Linked DNA regions of Oryzias latipes. The main gene of each other region encodes a partner of the protein of the gene in region 3 in a complex. Links are inferred from orthologs where the notes say so. Each region holds a gene or a part of one and is shown on either strand. Other genes may lie near its edges. The genes, in order: zmat2, sf3b3 and ik.

What was found.
Region 1: ik (region 3) and zmat2 share a complex: the UniProt entries of both Homo sapiens proteins name them as parts of the spliceosome B complex. The link is inferred for Oryzias latipes from reciprocal best matches to the Homo sapiens genes IK and ZMAT2.
Region 2: ik (region 3) and sf3b3 share a complex: the UniProt entries of both Homo sapiens proteins name them as parts of the spliceosome B complex. The link is inferred for Oryzias latipes from reciprocal best matches to the Homo sapiens genes IK and SF3B3.

The regions. Positions count from the first base shown.
Region 1 is NC_019872.2:3,288,262-3,292,611, forward strand, and holds the start of zmat2 (zinc finger matrin-type protein 2), read right to left. Parts: upstream 2,597-4,350; 5' UTR 2,526-2,596; coding exon 2,508-2,525; intron 1,120-2,507; coding exon 1,020-1,119; intron 935-1,019; coding exon 811-934; intron 686-810; coding exon 612-685; intron 1-611. UniProt on the Homo sapiens protein: Involved in pre-mRNA splicing as a component of the spliceosome.
Region 2 is NC_019864.2:25,110,128-25,114,377, reverse strand, and holds part of sf3b3 (splicing factor 3B subunit 3), read right to left. Parts: intron 3,694-4,250; coding exon 3,621-3,693; intron 2,773-3,620; coding exon 2,621-2,772; intron 2,482-2,620; coding exon 2,326-2,481; intron 1,619-2,325; coding exon 1,463-1,618; intron 133-1,462; coding exon 1-132. UniProt on the Homo sapiens protein: Component of the 17S U2 SnRNP complex of the spliceosome, a large ribonucleoprotein complex that removes introns from transcribed pre-mRNAs.
Region 3 is NC_019872.2:23,306,625-23,309,952, reverse strand, and holds part of ik (protein Red), read left to right. Parts: intron 1-34; coding exon 35-202; intron 203-497; coding exon 498-612; intron 613-694; coding exon 695-765; intron 766-842; coding exon 843-889; intron 890-1,536; coding exon 1,537-1,700; intron 1,701-1,782; coding exon 1,783-1,891; intron 1,892-1,960; coding exon 1,961-2,000; intron 2,001-2,079; coding exon 2,080-2,218; intron 2,219-2,297; coding exon 2,298-2,316; intron 2,317-2,416; coding exon 2,417-2,501; intron 2,502-2,634; coding exon 2,635-2,721; intron 2,722-2,979; coding exon 2,980-3,037; intron 3,038-3,107; coding exon 3,108-3,196; intron 3,197-3,298; coding exon 3,299-3,328. UniProt on the Homo sapiens protein: Involved in pre-mRNA splicing as a component of the spliceosome. Auxiliary spliceosomal protein that regulates selection of alternative splice sites in a small set of target pre-mRNA species. Required for normal mitotic cell cycle progression.

The DNA.
Region 1 (4,350 bases), about 20 Mb from region 3:
ATCAGCCAAATGCTTCAGTGGACGGCGCTTCACAGTGCAGATGGACCATGACCCAAAGCAAACTGCAACCGCAACTAAAGGCCTTCTTAAGGGAAAGAAGTGGAATGTTATGCAATGTTTCACTTGCTGAAGACAAAACTGAAGGTAAAATGCCCCAACAACAAGCAGGAACTGAAGACCGATGCATTGGAGGCCTGGCAGAGCATCACCAGGGATGAAACCCAGCGTCTGGAGATGTCTGTGAGTTCCAGACTTCATGCTGGAATTGACTGCAAAGGATTTGCAACCAAGTATTAAAAAGTAAATGTCTGATTTATGATTATTGTTCTGACCATTACTTTTGGTTCCTTAACAAGTGGGAGGCACAGATGCAAACTGTTGTAATTCCTACACAGTTCACCTGATCTGGATGGAAATACCCACAAATTAAAGCTGACAGTCTGCAGTTAAAGCACATCTTGTTCGTTTTATTTCAAATCCATTTTGGTGGCATATAGAGTCAAACATGTTGGAATTGTGTCGCTGTCCCATTATTTATGGACCTGACTGTATAAAATGATCCACGTTACATCTGCGCTCTTGGCCCCTCCCTAAAGCACAGGTGTACTTACGTTTCTTGCCGTTGATGTGATCCAGAAAGTTGATGGAGTCTTTGACCACACAGTCACAAACATTGCAGTAATATCTGAAAAAAAAAATATGTCGGAACCAGAACCCAGACCTGTCCGTTTCTGCTCCACAACTTTTTCTTATTGGTTCAAAGAGTTTCAGTTTTCCATTTTTCCAAACCCAAAGCCGTCAGGAACTCACCCGCCCATCTCCGCCTGAGGGGTGGTCTTGGTGATGACAATAGTTTTCCCCAGTTTGGACTCCAGATCCACTTTGTAGTCTCTGTGCCGCAGGAGCTCCCGCTTGACGGGAGGGACAGGTTTTCCTGAAAGAGCCAACAGGTCATGCGTCAGGGGTGATAAGCGATTGACCCCCAAGGGTCCCCAAAGAACGGAGAGCGCTGCCCTCACCATCCCTGAGCTCCCGCTCGCGCTCCTCGTTCAGCCGCTTCTGAGCGAGATTCTCGTACTCGTCCTTGTCCCATTTCCGCCGGAAGTCGTTCTTGCTGGACTGGAAGACACGAGAAGATGACTCAGAGCGCCTCGATTATCTTCACATCTCAACAAACATTCAGCTGATGAAGACGAGGAGCTTTTACTCCTCCTGACAAAAGAGCAACAGCTTCTCAACTCAACTTCATTGATAAAACTCTAAAACAGAACCACAGAGACACAACAACAGAGAAGGAACAAAAGCAGGAAAGCCTCATGCTTCGTCAGAAGAATGTTTAAATGCAGACGGTGAAGATGCCTGTTGGACTGTCAGAGCTGACGCCTTGTGCACCTTCCAAGCTCAAACAGGAGGAGCTGGCTCTTCCCAGAGGTTCCTCCTGGATCTCTGTCCCTCCAGGGAAAGATATGAGCTTAACCGAGATTCCAAAAGCTCAGAGAGGTATGGATGAACGCACAAATCATGGGGAACGTGTGACCCATGATTTATGCGTGAGCCATGCTGCTGCTCGTATTTAATGGTGTTTGGGAAAAGGGCTGTTCCTACTCCGTGACCCGAGATAAGGGGAGGGCTCAGGCCGAACATCCAGCTGACGGGAAGCATCCATGTTGGATAAACAGATGAGTCCAAAGAGATCCTTCATAATGAACATTAGATTTTTCAGAAATCTCCGTTCAACAGCCTGATCCTGGCTGCAGCTGCAGCCTGAAACTGATCAGCTCTCCAAATGCATGGTGCCGTCAGGCTCCAGGGGGATACGCCTGCTGGTGGAGCTGTGCTTACAGGACAGGAAACCCTAAGTCACTCTAGACCAGTGTTTTTCAACCTTTTTTGAGCCACGGCACACTTTAACCCTGAAAAAGATCCCGCGGCACACCAGCATCCAAAAAAAAAAAAAAAAAGCAGAAATTCATGGTCTGTATTGATCGACAGCTCTTCCCTTTCATTCATATTATCAAAGTAAACATTTTCAACAGGGGTGGGTTTATAAATTTTATAATATAGCAACAGAAACATTGTTTCATATTTGCAAAAACCAAAAAGGACATTATCCTTATTATTACAGTTTCATTTATTATCATCACAGTCGGCTTTACGAAATAAACTTCAAGAGCTTTTATTTTGCCACACCGGAATTCGTTACACCTTTGAATTAGTCCTTTAAAGATAAAAACTAACGGCGGTTGAGTCAAAACGTTTTTGGTACTAATTTTTTTTTTTTTTAAAAAGGGCCGTAAAATTCTGCAAATAAAGTACCCAAGCGTCAGAGCGAGTTAGCCGCTGCTAGTCCGAGGCCGCGCTTCTAACGGCAGCAGCTGATGTCTGTAACGGTTACAGTCAAAACGCCTCCACGGTACCAAATATAAAGTGAAGAATTTTAATCTTGTTTATTGAATTAAACTGTATTACAACAAACAGGGGCAGAGAAATTCTGCTTGGAAACTCACCCCACTGCCGGACGCCATCTTGTTTACCTACGGAAAATACGTCACCGGATGTTGCAGCTCGTCATTGCTAGTTTCCTGTCTAAATTTAGTTCTATCGGTAGAGGAGACATCACGTGATTCCTCAAGGGGGGAGAGCATCGCCATCTTGGTGAGGTCAAATTACTGCTGTAGTGCATGCATGTGAACACATTTCTTGCAAAATACCAGTTCATTTTTCGGGTTTCAACTGCCAAAATCAGAGAAATGAGTCCACGAAGGAGGAAGGCATAACATTTCACAGGTAAGTATTATATATTTTTTTCTTTTAATGCTGCAGGGGCATCATTAATCATACACATGTTTTCATGCATGATGCTGCAGGGCGATTATCAACATGTAGGCATGATGTACGTATAATTTGCTGTCGATATAAATGTAAACTTTATTGTGTTAAACCTGTATACATTATACTAGGCTATTATAGTAATAGAGATTTATACATTTCTGACTCAGTGACTGAAATTTTATTGCAGGTTTCCAATGGATTCAGACTTAAGGAAAAAGTGGGCCTTAGCAATAAAAAGAGCTAACCCAGATGGATCACTGTGGTACCAACTAGTAATACAGTCTGGCTATGTTCAAAACAATTTGAGGAAACAGATTTTGATGAGACTGGCCAGACTGTTAGCTTGAAACCCGACACTAAACCAACTGTGTCACACAAATTTATCACTAACATGAATCAGGAGGTAAATCTATTTCTTTTCTTTGTTTTTTTAAAGGGGAAAATCTGTTGTTGACTTTTGGACTTTTTGTTGACTTATTATTGATTTATTATTATCATTTATTATTATTTACCTATTATTGATTTATTTTTATCATTCAATATTATTATTGACTTACTATTGATTTATTATTATTATTATTTATTGATTCATTATTATTATTATTATTATTATTATTATTATTATTATTATTATTATTATTATTATTATTATTATTGACTTATTTATATATTGTTATTAATTATTATTATTATTGACTTATTATTTATATTTGTTATTTATTATTATTATTGACTTATTATTTATATATTGTTATTATTTATTATTATTATTGACTTATTGTTGGGCTTTTCTAAATAATTTCAATTACATGTCAAAGAGGTCTAAAACTTGGAAATGTTTAAAAATTAAAAACAATGCATTTTTCATTAAAGTTTGAACTTTTAAAGCTGACTGTTTCTCTTATTTAAAAGCATCAAATGATGTATATATATAAAAATTATATACATTTATCATGTGTTTATTTATATGTATAAATATATAGAAATTTGAATAAATATAAATTATATAAAAGCTACTTAGATGCTACCAAAGGCTAAAGAAATCATTGTCATGTAGGCGTCGTTGACCTCACCAAGATGGCGTTGCGTTCCGCCACCGTCGGCCAGGCTTCCCAAGCGGGCGTGTCTCCTCTAGCGATATAACTCATTGAGTTCAGACAATTCACTGGCTATGTCCGAATTCCCACCCTAATCCCTAACTACTAATAAAACTATAAGTGTGGGACTATCCAATGTCCCGGATTTTAAAAGCAATTAGGACACCTTGCTGACTTCATTATTTTAAAACTGCGAATATGACATCACTGATTTCCCAAAGTTAAAATCTAATCAATATGAGCAATGCATGAAGACTATTTATGAATCCACTGTGCTCTGATGATGAAATCATTGAGTGTTCATACAAAACAATAAAATACATTTTTGCTCTCAAAAATTGTTCAATTGCATTGTGGTCTACACACGCCAATCTAGTAGCGAGCATCAATACACACTAATCTTTCGCAAATAATTTCTAAA
Region 2 (4,250 bases), on a different chromosome or scaffold from region 3:
GTTGAGGTAGAGGAAGCCCATAGTGCCTTTTTCTCCAAGTTCGTCCTGTTTCTCCACACCTCCCATCTCCACGATGCACAGACTCTCTGGCTGAGCAGGGAGGGCCTGCATACTCAACGGCTGAAGACAATCCTAGAGGGGATAAAAATGGAAAGGCTTTAAACAAATCTCTGCACGTACAAGCATTATAAAGTCTGACTTTAAAATGATAAACATGTTAAGTACAAAATAACTTTTCCCCCCCAGATTAATGTAATGCAGCCACTAAAAACCCTTTCAAAGGCACCTCTTTTACTAATTGTAACTTGATGTTTCTCAGGACAGACAGACCTGCTCCACTTTAGTAATAAACCAACTTAAACCATAAATATGAGTGTCGCCACATGGTAGGTTACTCTCTGGCAACTGGGAAGGGCTTAACGACAAACTGCGCCCTATTTTAAAGATCGGATATTTTGTTTTATTTTTTAAAGTGCAGTACGAGAACTTTTTTTTCCTTTAATGCGGGTTTAAACAAAGAAATCATTTAAGCTTATTAATAAGTGGACTTTAAATGGTCAAAGTTCTGGTTTGTTGTTTTGAGACGTTTAATCTTTCCATTTGGAAGTTTTGACACTGGATTGTGTTCATTTTACTGTCAAGTTGCCTTCAATTCATTGAAACCAGAGCTAAACCAATACTTTTTTTGTTCAGATTGCTGAACTCTAACAATAAACAAATGTGCTGTGTAGAAAATAGTGTTTTCAACTATTTTTGTCTAATTATGGAAATTATCACTTAAGAAGCTTTTGCAATTATATTAATAGACAGCTTTAAATGTGTAAACAATTTGAAATTTAACTATTGACATGTGATTAAAAGTAGATTGATTTGAGTCATTTCACCTTTATCCAGATGTTAAATGTCACAACCTGGGAATTCCTGATCTCCAGATATCCAGAAAGGCATTACGTGAAGCATAAAGAAGCTTGTCTGATCCTTGTCACCACTTCTTTGGATCAACGTGAAAAAAGAAACTCTTCTACATTCTGCAGTTGTGATTAAAGTCCAATAAAACTCTGCAGATTCACTCTGAAGTATTTTCCATTTGAGTGTCTGGGTTCTGATGTTCCTGGAAGTCAGTCAGAGATCTGAGCAGCCTCCACACAGAAAAGGGTGTAGCAATTTTATAAAACGCACCAACACCAGCTCACACTGGAAAGTGTTTGAAAAGGATTCAGTGAACATCCCAACAAAAGGAAAAAAAATTACACATTCAAACCGGTTCCTGATGTTAGGAGCACTTTTTACAGGTGTTTGGCAGCAGAAGAGAATGATTAATAGCTTTCCTTCTCTCTGTAGTGTGAATGGCCAAGTCTACATCCATACCTCAGGTTACCAATAAAAAACATTTTTCCCTTTACAGAACCCCACCTACACAGCAGTTGTCAAGATAAACTGCCATTCAGATTTGCATTTGTACCGAAGGGTCCAAGGAGATGATTCGAACGGTGTTGTCGACCAGTCCGACAGCCAGGAAGCGGGAGCGCTGCTCACCCGGCGGGACGTTTGCCAGGCTCATGCAAACCACGTCTGCAGACATCTCCTTCCGCTCCGTGTACTCGTTCAGCTGGCCAGACTACAGAAGACACAAGTATGAGAGGAACACATACACAATTGTCCTCTTTATGAAGCACTGATATCACAAAACACTGTTCCATCTAGTAGAACTTTTAGAAGTGTTCTAATGCTTCCTGCAAACAGCAACCGCACAGTTCTGATTCCTCTTGGATTGATCCCAAAAAAAACTACAAGAACCCAAAGATGATCTACTGGAATGTAATCTAGAACAGTGGCGGTAAACAGTCCCCTCTAATGCTCTAGTGCCAGTTAACCTGAGATGATGCCAAAATCCACCTATAATGTTCATTCAAAGAGGATAAATCTATCCAACACAGAGCTGATCTAATGTAAAATAAAAACACATCTTATAAAACCGATTCGTATTTAGGACATAAAAAAAAATTTTTTTTTTTTTGATAGACAAAATGACCCATCTGATCATTTCATTTACAGAGTTACGGTGAAATTACAACCATAAACTCATTTTATTTAGGTTTTTATTTTTGAACACAGCAGACCGTATGTTTCAAAAAACGGATCAGCGTTGGCTGCCCGCGTCCACACCACATTCAAACTTGTATAAATCCGGCCTATTGGTCATTGCTCGAGTCATTTGGATCAAGTCTATTGACCAATTCCACAGAGTTGCTGCAAAGTATTGATATGTTGCAGGTAACTTGTCCTTTCGATGTTGCACTTAGGGAGCACTAATAAAAGCCTTACCGGGTCCATCTCGAAGTAGACTAGCTCCCCTCCTGTCAGGGCGATAACCACCTGCCTCTGGTTGACGGCGCAGCGGACAATGGTTTTTTTACCAGGAGTTTTCCACTCGTTCACTCGCTTGTCTGCTCTGATGTGGCGAATGCCATCTGGGTACACCTGTCCCCAAAACGGTAAAAAAGAGAAAATACATTTAGCAAAAGAGGCACACAAGGTAGACTACCAAAAAAAAATAAAAATTAAATGCTAGACCAAAACATTTCTGTGAAGAATGGCCTACAGGTGACTTTTGACCCACCTGAACCAGGGCATCTTCTCCCAGCAAAGAGCAGGAGAGAGTGGGTGTTGTTCCCAGAAACCCTGAATCTGTCACTTCCTCCACGGTCTCTCCGATGGACAAAACCAAAGTGGCGTTGACGAAAGACACGATGATGTAGGCATCAAACTCGTCTACAAAAACAGAAGTGTAAGAAAAGGGGCTTAGCTTTTATTTTAGTGCCGTGTTTCTGAACCCCTTTTCTCCAGTCCCACCATGTTTAGGTCAGAGGTGGATCAGGTGTGTTTTATAAAGAAAAAAAAAGTCAAACGTGCATGGCAGCAGTCTGAAACACTGATTTAGAGGAAGACAACTGCTTGAAGTAAACCCTTTATAACAATTATAACATATATATTATATAGCCATACAGAGAAACAAAGTGATGTGTGTGAAAAACAAAAAAACCTCTGCAGTCTTACAATTGAAGCACACACATATATAAAAAGGTTAATGAAAAGAAGCTGAGCTGACACGCGGCAGATTTTTCATTATTTAACTATATCTAATCTATAGATTGAGCGAGGGGCAACTTTTATTGCACTCATTGTACTGATGGAGCAGCTGCTCACACCCCCAGGGGCAGATGTAGACCGTCGGTATCAAGATCAACAGATGAATGAATAAATTACATTAAAACTATTGTTACTTAGTGATTTCAGAGTCAATCTGCTTTCAATCAACAGTCGGGGCAGACGACGATGCAGATGCTTTACATTTCCTGAAATTCACTCGCTGGTGTTTTATGTTTAATTCAAAATGAAAAACCTATATGGCATTTTCAATAGGACAAGGCAGATGTAGTTGTATTTTACAATTTGACAAGAAAAAATAATTCATCAAATACTTTGCGTCATCTAAACTCAACTAAAACATAATTACCCTAAAAATAAAAGTTCTCTGTCTTATATTTGAGATATAGTATAACTACAGTATTAGACTCTTTTGTGTAAATATAAATGTGAAATATTAAATGTAGGGTTACCTTCCACATGTCTGCGTACCGTCCACACAGCATTGGGGTTACCAGGCAGCTCAGAAACAGCCATCTCTGACACCTGAGAACAAGGACACAACTCAGAAAAAGAGGACCAACAAAAAAAGTACAAAAGATAGATTCTGCTTTCTCACTTTTTATTTTATTTTATAATGTTCTTCTGCTTGCATTAAACAATAAAGCATCACATCTACATAACATTTTGGCAGTTTAAAACTCAGTATCGTAGTGTTGCATCACTACTGCATACAAGTATGTTTATGATGAAAGTGTCAAAGAAGAATGGTACTAAATTTAAGGATTTATTGTTTTATTACATTACATCAGGCCTACTATAAGCCAACTGAATGGTTTTTCCTCATTGTTTTTTGCCTATTAGAAAATGTTAGGAAATTATCGAAATTTTTAGTTTTAGTTGTTGTTTTGTAAAACACAAATCATATATCAAACTGAAACAAAAATATGACCCAAAAGTTCAGGTTTTAAGGCAAAAGTTAATTGTTGCATCCTTATTGGTAACTACATTTTCTACATGTAATTAAAAAAAAAAAAAAACATGAAACGTCTAGATTCACCTCTAAAACAAATAATGTGATCACAGAAAGATGAGCATCTCTT
Region 3 (3,328 bases):
CGAGTATTGATGATCGATGCTTGTCCACCTGCAGCTACTATGCTAAACTGCGACAGCAGGAGATGGAGCGAGAGCGCGAGCTTGCTGAGAAGTACCGTGACCGAGCGCGAGAGAGGCGGGACGGCGTCAACAAGGACTATGAGGAGACGGAGCTAATCAGCACTACGGCCAACTACCGAGCCGTTGGACCCACTGCTGAGGCGTGAGTACCAGAGCGCAGAACATGACACTGCAGACAGCTGCAGCAAAAGGATGTTCCTGTCTGTATTTCCTAATGTTCCTGTGTTTCCTGATGTTCCTGTTTCCTGATGTTCCTGTGTTTCCTAATGTTCCGGGGTTTCCTGATGTTCTTGATGTTCCTGTGTTTCTTAATGTTCCGGGGTTTCCTGATGTTCTTGATGTTCCCGGGTTTCCTGATGTTCCCTTGTTGCCTGATTTTCCACTGTTTCCTGATGTGCCTGTGCTTTCTAATGTACCTATGTCTCTGACCTTCTCAGTGACAAATCTGCAGCAGAGAAGCGTCGACAGCTCATCCAGGAGTCCAAGTTCTTGGGAGGTGACATGGAGCACACTCACTTGGTGAAAGGTCTGGACTTCGCTCTGCTGCAGAAGGTCAGGCTGGGCTGCTCCAAACATCTGGACCTGCAGAGTCGGGTCAGGAGGATTAACAGAACACATGTAATCTATCTTCTAGGTGAGAGCAGAAATCACTAGCAAGGAGAAGGAAGAAGAAGACATGATAGAGAAAGTCCAGAAGGAGGCCAAGTATGAAAGCAGAGCACACATCGTTATATTCTATCTGTCTGATTTACTGACTGTTTGTCGGTTTACCTGTCTGACAGGAAGGATGTGGAGCCGGAGGAGAAGATGGAGTTTAAGACCCGTCTTGGTGAGTGTGTGCAGATGCTACTTTTTGCTACTTTATGCTACTTTTTCAGTGATCGCTCTTCTAATAGATCAATTGTTTTTTTTTTCTGTAAGTGTATGTCCTCCAGGTGAGGCCAACATAGTAAGCAAACTCTCAGTGCAGCTGAAATTTGCTCTAATCTCAAATTTATATTAAATCTCACCAACATTTAGGCTTGTGTGCTTGAAAAATAAAGCTACGTGTTTAGTTTGGAGTTGATGACCTCATCCCCTCCCCCACATTGGAAAAAGTTTACTCTTATTTGGTTGACTTGATTAATTGACATCCGAAGCCACGCCTCTTATTCTATGCAGCGGGACCACAGAGTTTGAAACACTAGATGGATAATCTCTGAGATTTCTCAGAGGATTCTGAACTGCCCAAATGAAGCCTGAAGTGAGACAGGAACCTTAATCTGAAGTTCCTCTGCCAACCTCCTTAATGTTCCAGAATGTGTGTTTGGATTGAGACAAAGCGAAGTGAGAGCTTAGTTGAGTCTACCCACCTTCCATTCAAAGAAACCCCCCCCCCAATTAAGAATAGATAGGACTGGAAGTCTTTAAGACCTCAGGTGTATGTTGAAGGATGCTTTCATGACAGTCTGTTCTTTAAATGCTGCTTCTTCTCAGGCAGGAACATCTACCGGGTCGTGTTCCGATCCGGGGCTTTGGAAAGAAATGAGCTGTTCCTGCCCGGCAGGATGGCATACGTGATCGATCTGGATGACGAGTTTACCGACACCGACATTCCCACGACTCTGATCCGCAGCAAAGCTGACTGTCCCAGCATGGAGGCGAGTTTCTAAATCCACAGCTGTCCCAGGCCAGTGGATATGGTCGATGCTGAACTCTGACGTGTCTCCATGTTGGCAACAGGCTCAGACGACCCTGACCACCAACGATATCGTGATCTCAAAACTGACCCAGATCCTGTCCTACCTGAGGCAGGGAACCCGACACAAGAAGATGAAGAAGAAGGACAAAGGTGAGCCTGATGCATCTGCATGTGAGCATGCTCAGTACACCATAGATTAACTCTGTCTGTGTGTTTCAGGTAAACTGGATGATAAAAGAGCTCCGGAGACTGACCTCAGGTTAGTTGGTGTCTGCCCTCCCATCACCATTATTGCCCCCTTTGTTAGTCAGGGCCTCTGTAATGTCTTTATGTCTCAGCATCTTTGATGACATCGGGGACTACATCCCAACCACCGTCCCCAAACCCCCCAAGGAGAAGGAGCGCCACAGAGAGCGGGATGATGATGCTAAGAGGAGGCACAACTACTTTGAGAAACCCAGAGGAGAGGAGCAGCAGGTGGGTTGTAAAGAGAAGAGGGGAGGGGCTGCAGAGTGTTGTATACTAACTATATGTATGTGTGTGTCTGTGTGTGCAGGTGTTGGAGGTGGATACAGGTAAACCTCTGAATTCATATATTATTAGTAAATATCAATTACCAGTGGTGTTTTGTAACGCCTGTTGATGATTATGTCATCCATCCTGCTCACCTGGCAGGTCCCGGATCAGTGCAGGAGCACATCAAGATGATCAACAAGAACTTTGGAGGAGCTGCAGGCAGCCAGTGGCAGGGCCAGGAGCCATATCCTCTTTTTACCTGTTTGATAGCTTCCGGAGGGGGCGGAGCCTCCCTTTTGCATGTTTAGTTGTAGTTGTTTAAAAGTGGGTAGGGCTTCCGGATCACATGATCAGCGTTGTCTTTAATAAAAACAAACAGGATCTGTGAGACGAGATTCCAGCAAAGAGCAGCTGGGAGATTTCTTTGGGGGATCCAACTCGTATGCAGAGTGTTACCCGGCAACGTAAGGTTCAACCTGACACACTGACAACGCCAAAAAAAAGCACATACTGACAACGCTACAAACACACAACCCCACACGCCAACAACGATACAAACGCACAACCCCACATGCTGATAAACTAACAACCCTTCAAATGCACAATCTCACACACTTACAATGCTTCAAACACACAACCTGACACACTGACAACCCTACAAATGCACAACCTGACAGTCTCACAACCCCATAGCAGGTAAGGTAAACATTTTTGCGTTGCAGAATGGATGATCTCGCCGTTGACAGTGATGAAGAAGTTGACTACAGCAAGATGGACCAGGTAACTACATTTCCCAGCATGCAGTTGTTTTCTGAGTTACAGAGTCACTGGTATGGCTTCTCTGCTTTAGGGCAACAAGAAGGGTCCTCTGGGCCGCTGGGACTTCGACACTCAGGAGGAGTATTCAGATTATATGAACAACAAGGAGGCTCTCCCCAAGTGAGTTATTCCCTCAGCTGTGGCTGACAGGCGGGGTGTTCTCTTCATTCTGTGTCGGTCTGTAGGGGTTAGTGTGGTTCTTACTGGGGGCTGTCTCTGCAGGGCTGCCTTCCAATATGGCATCAAAATGTC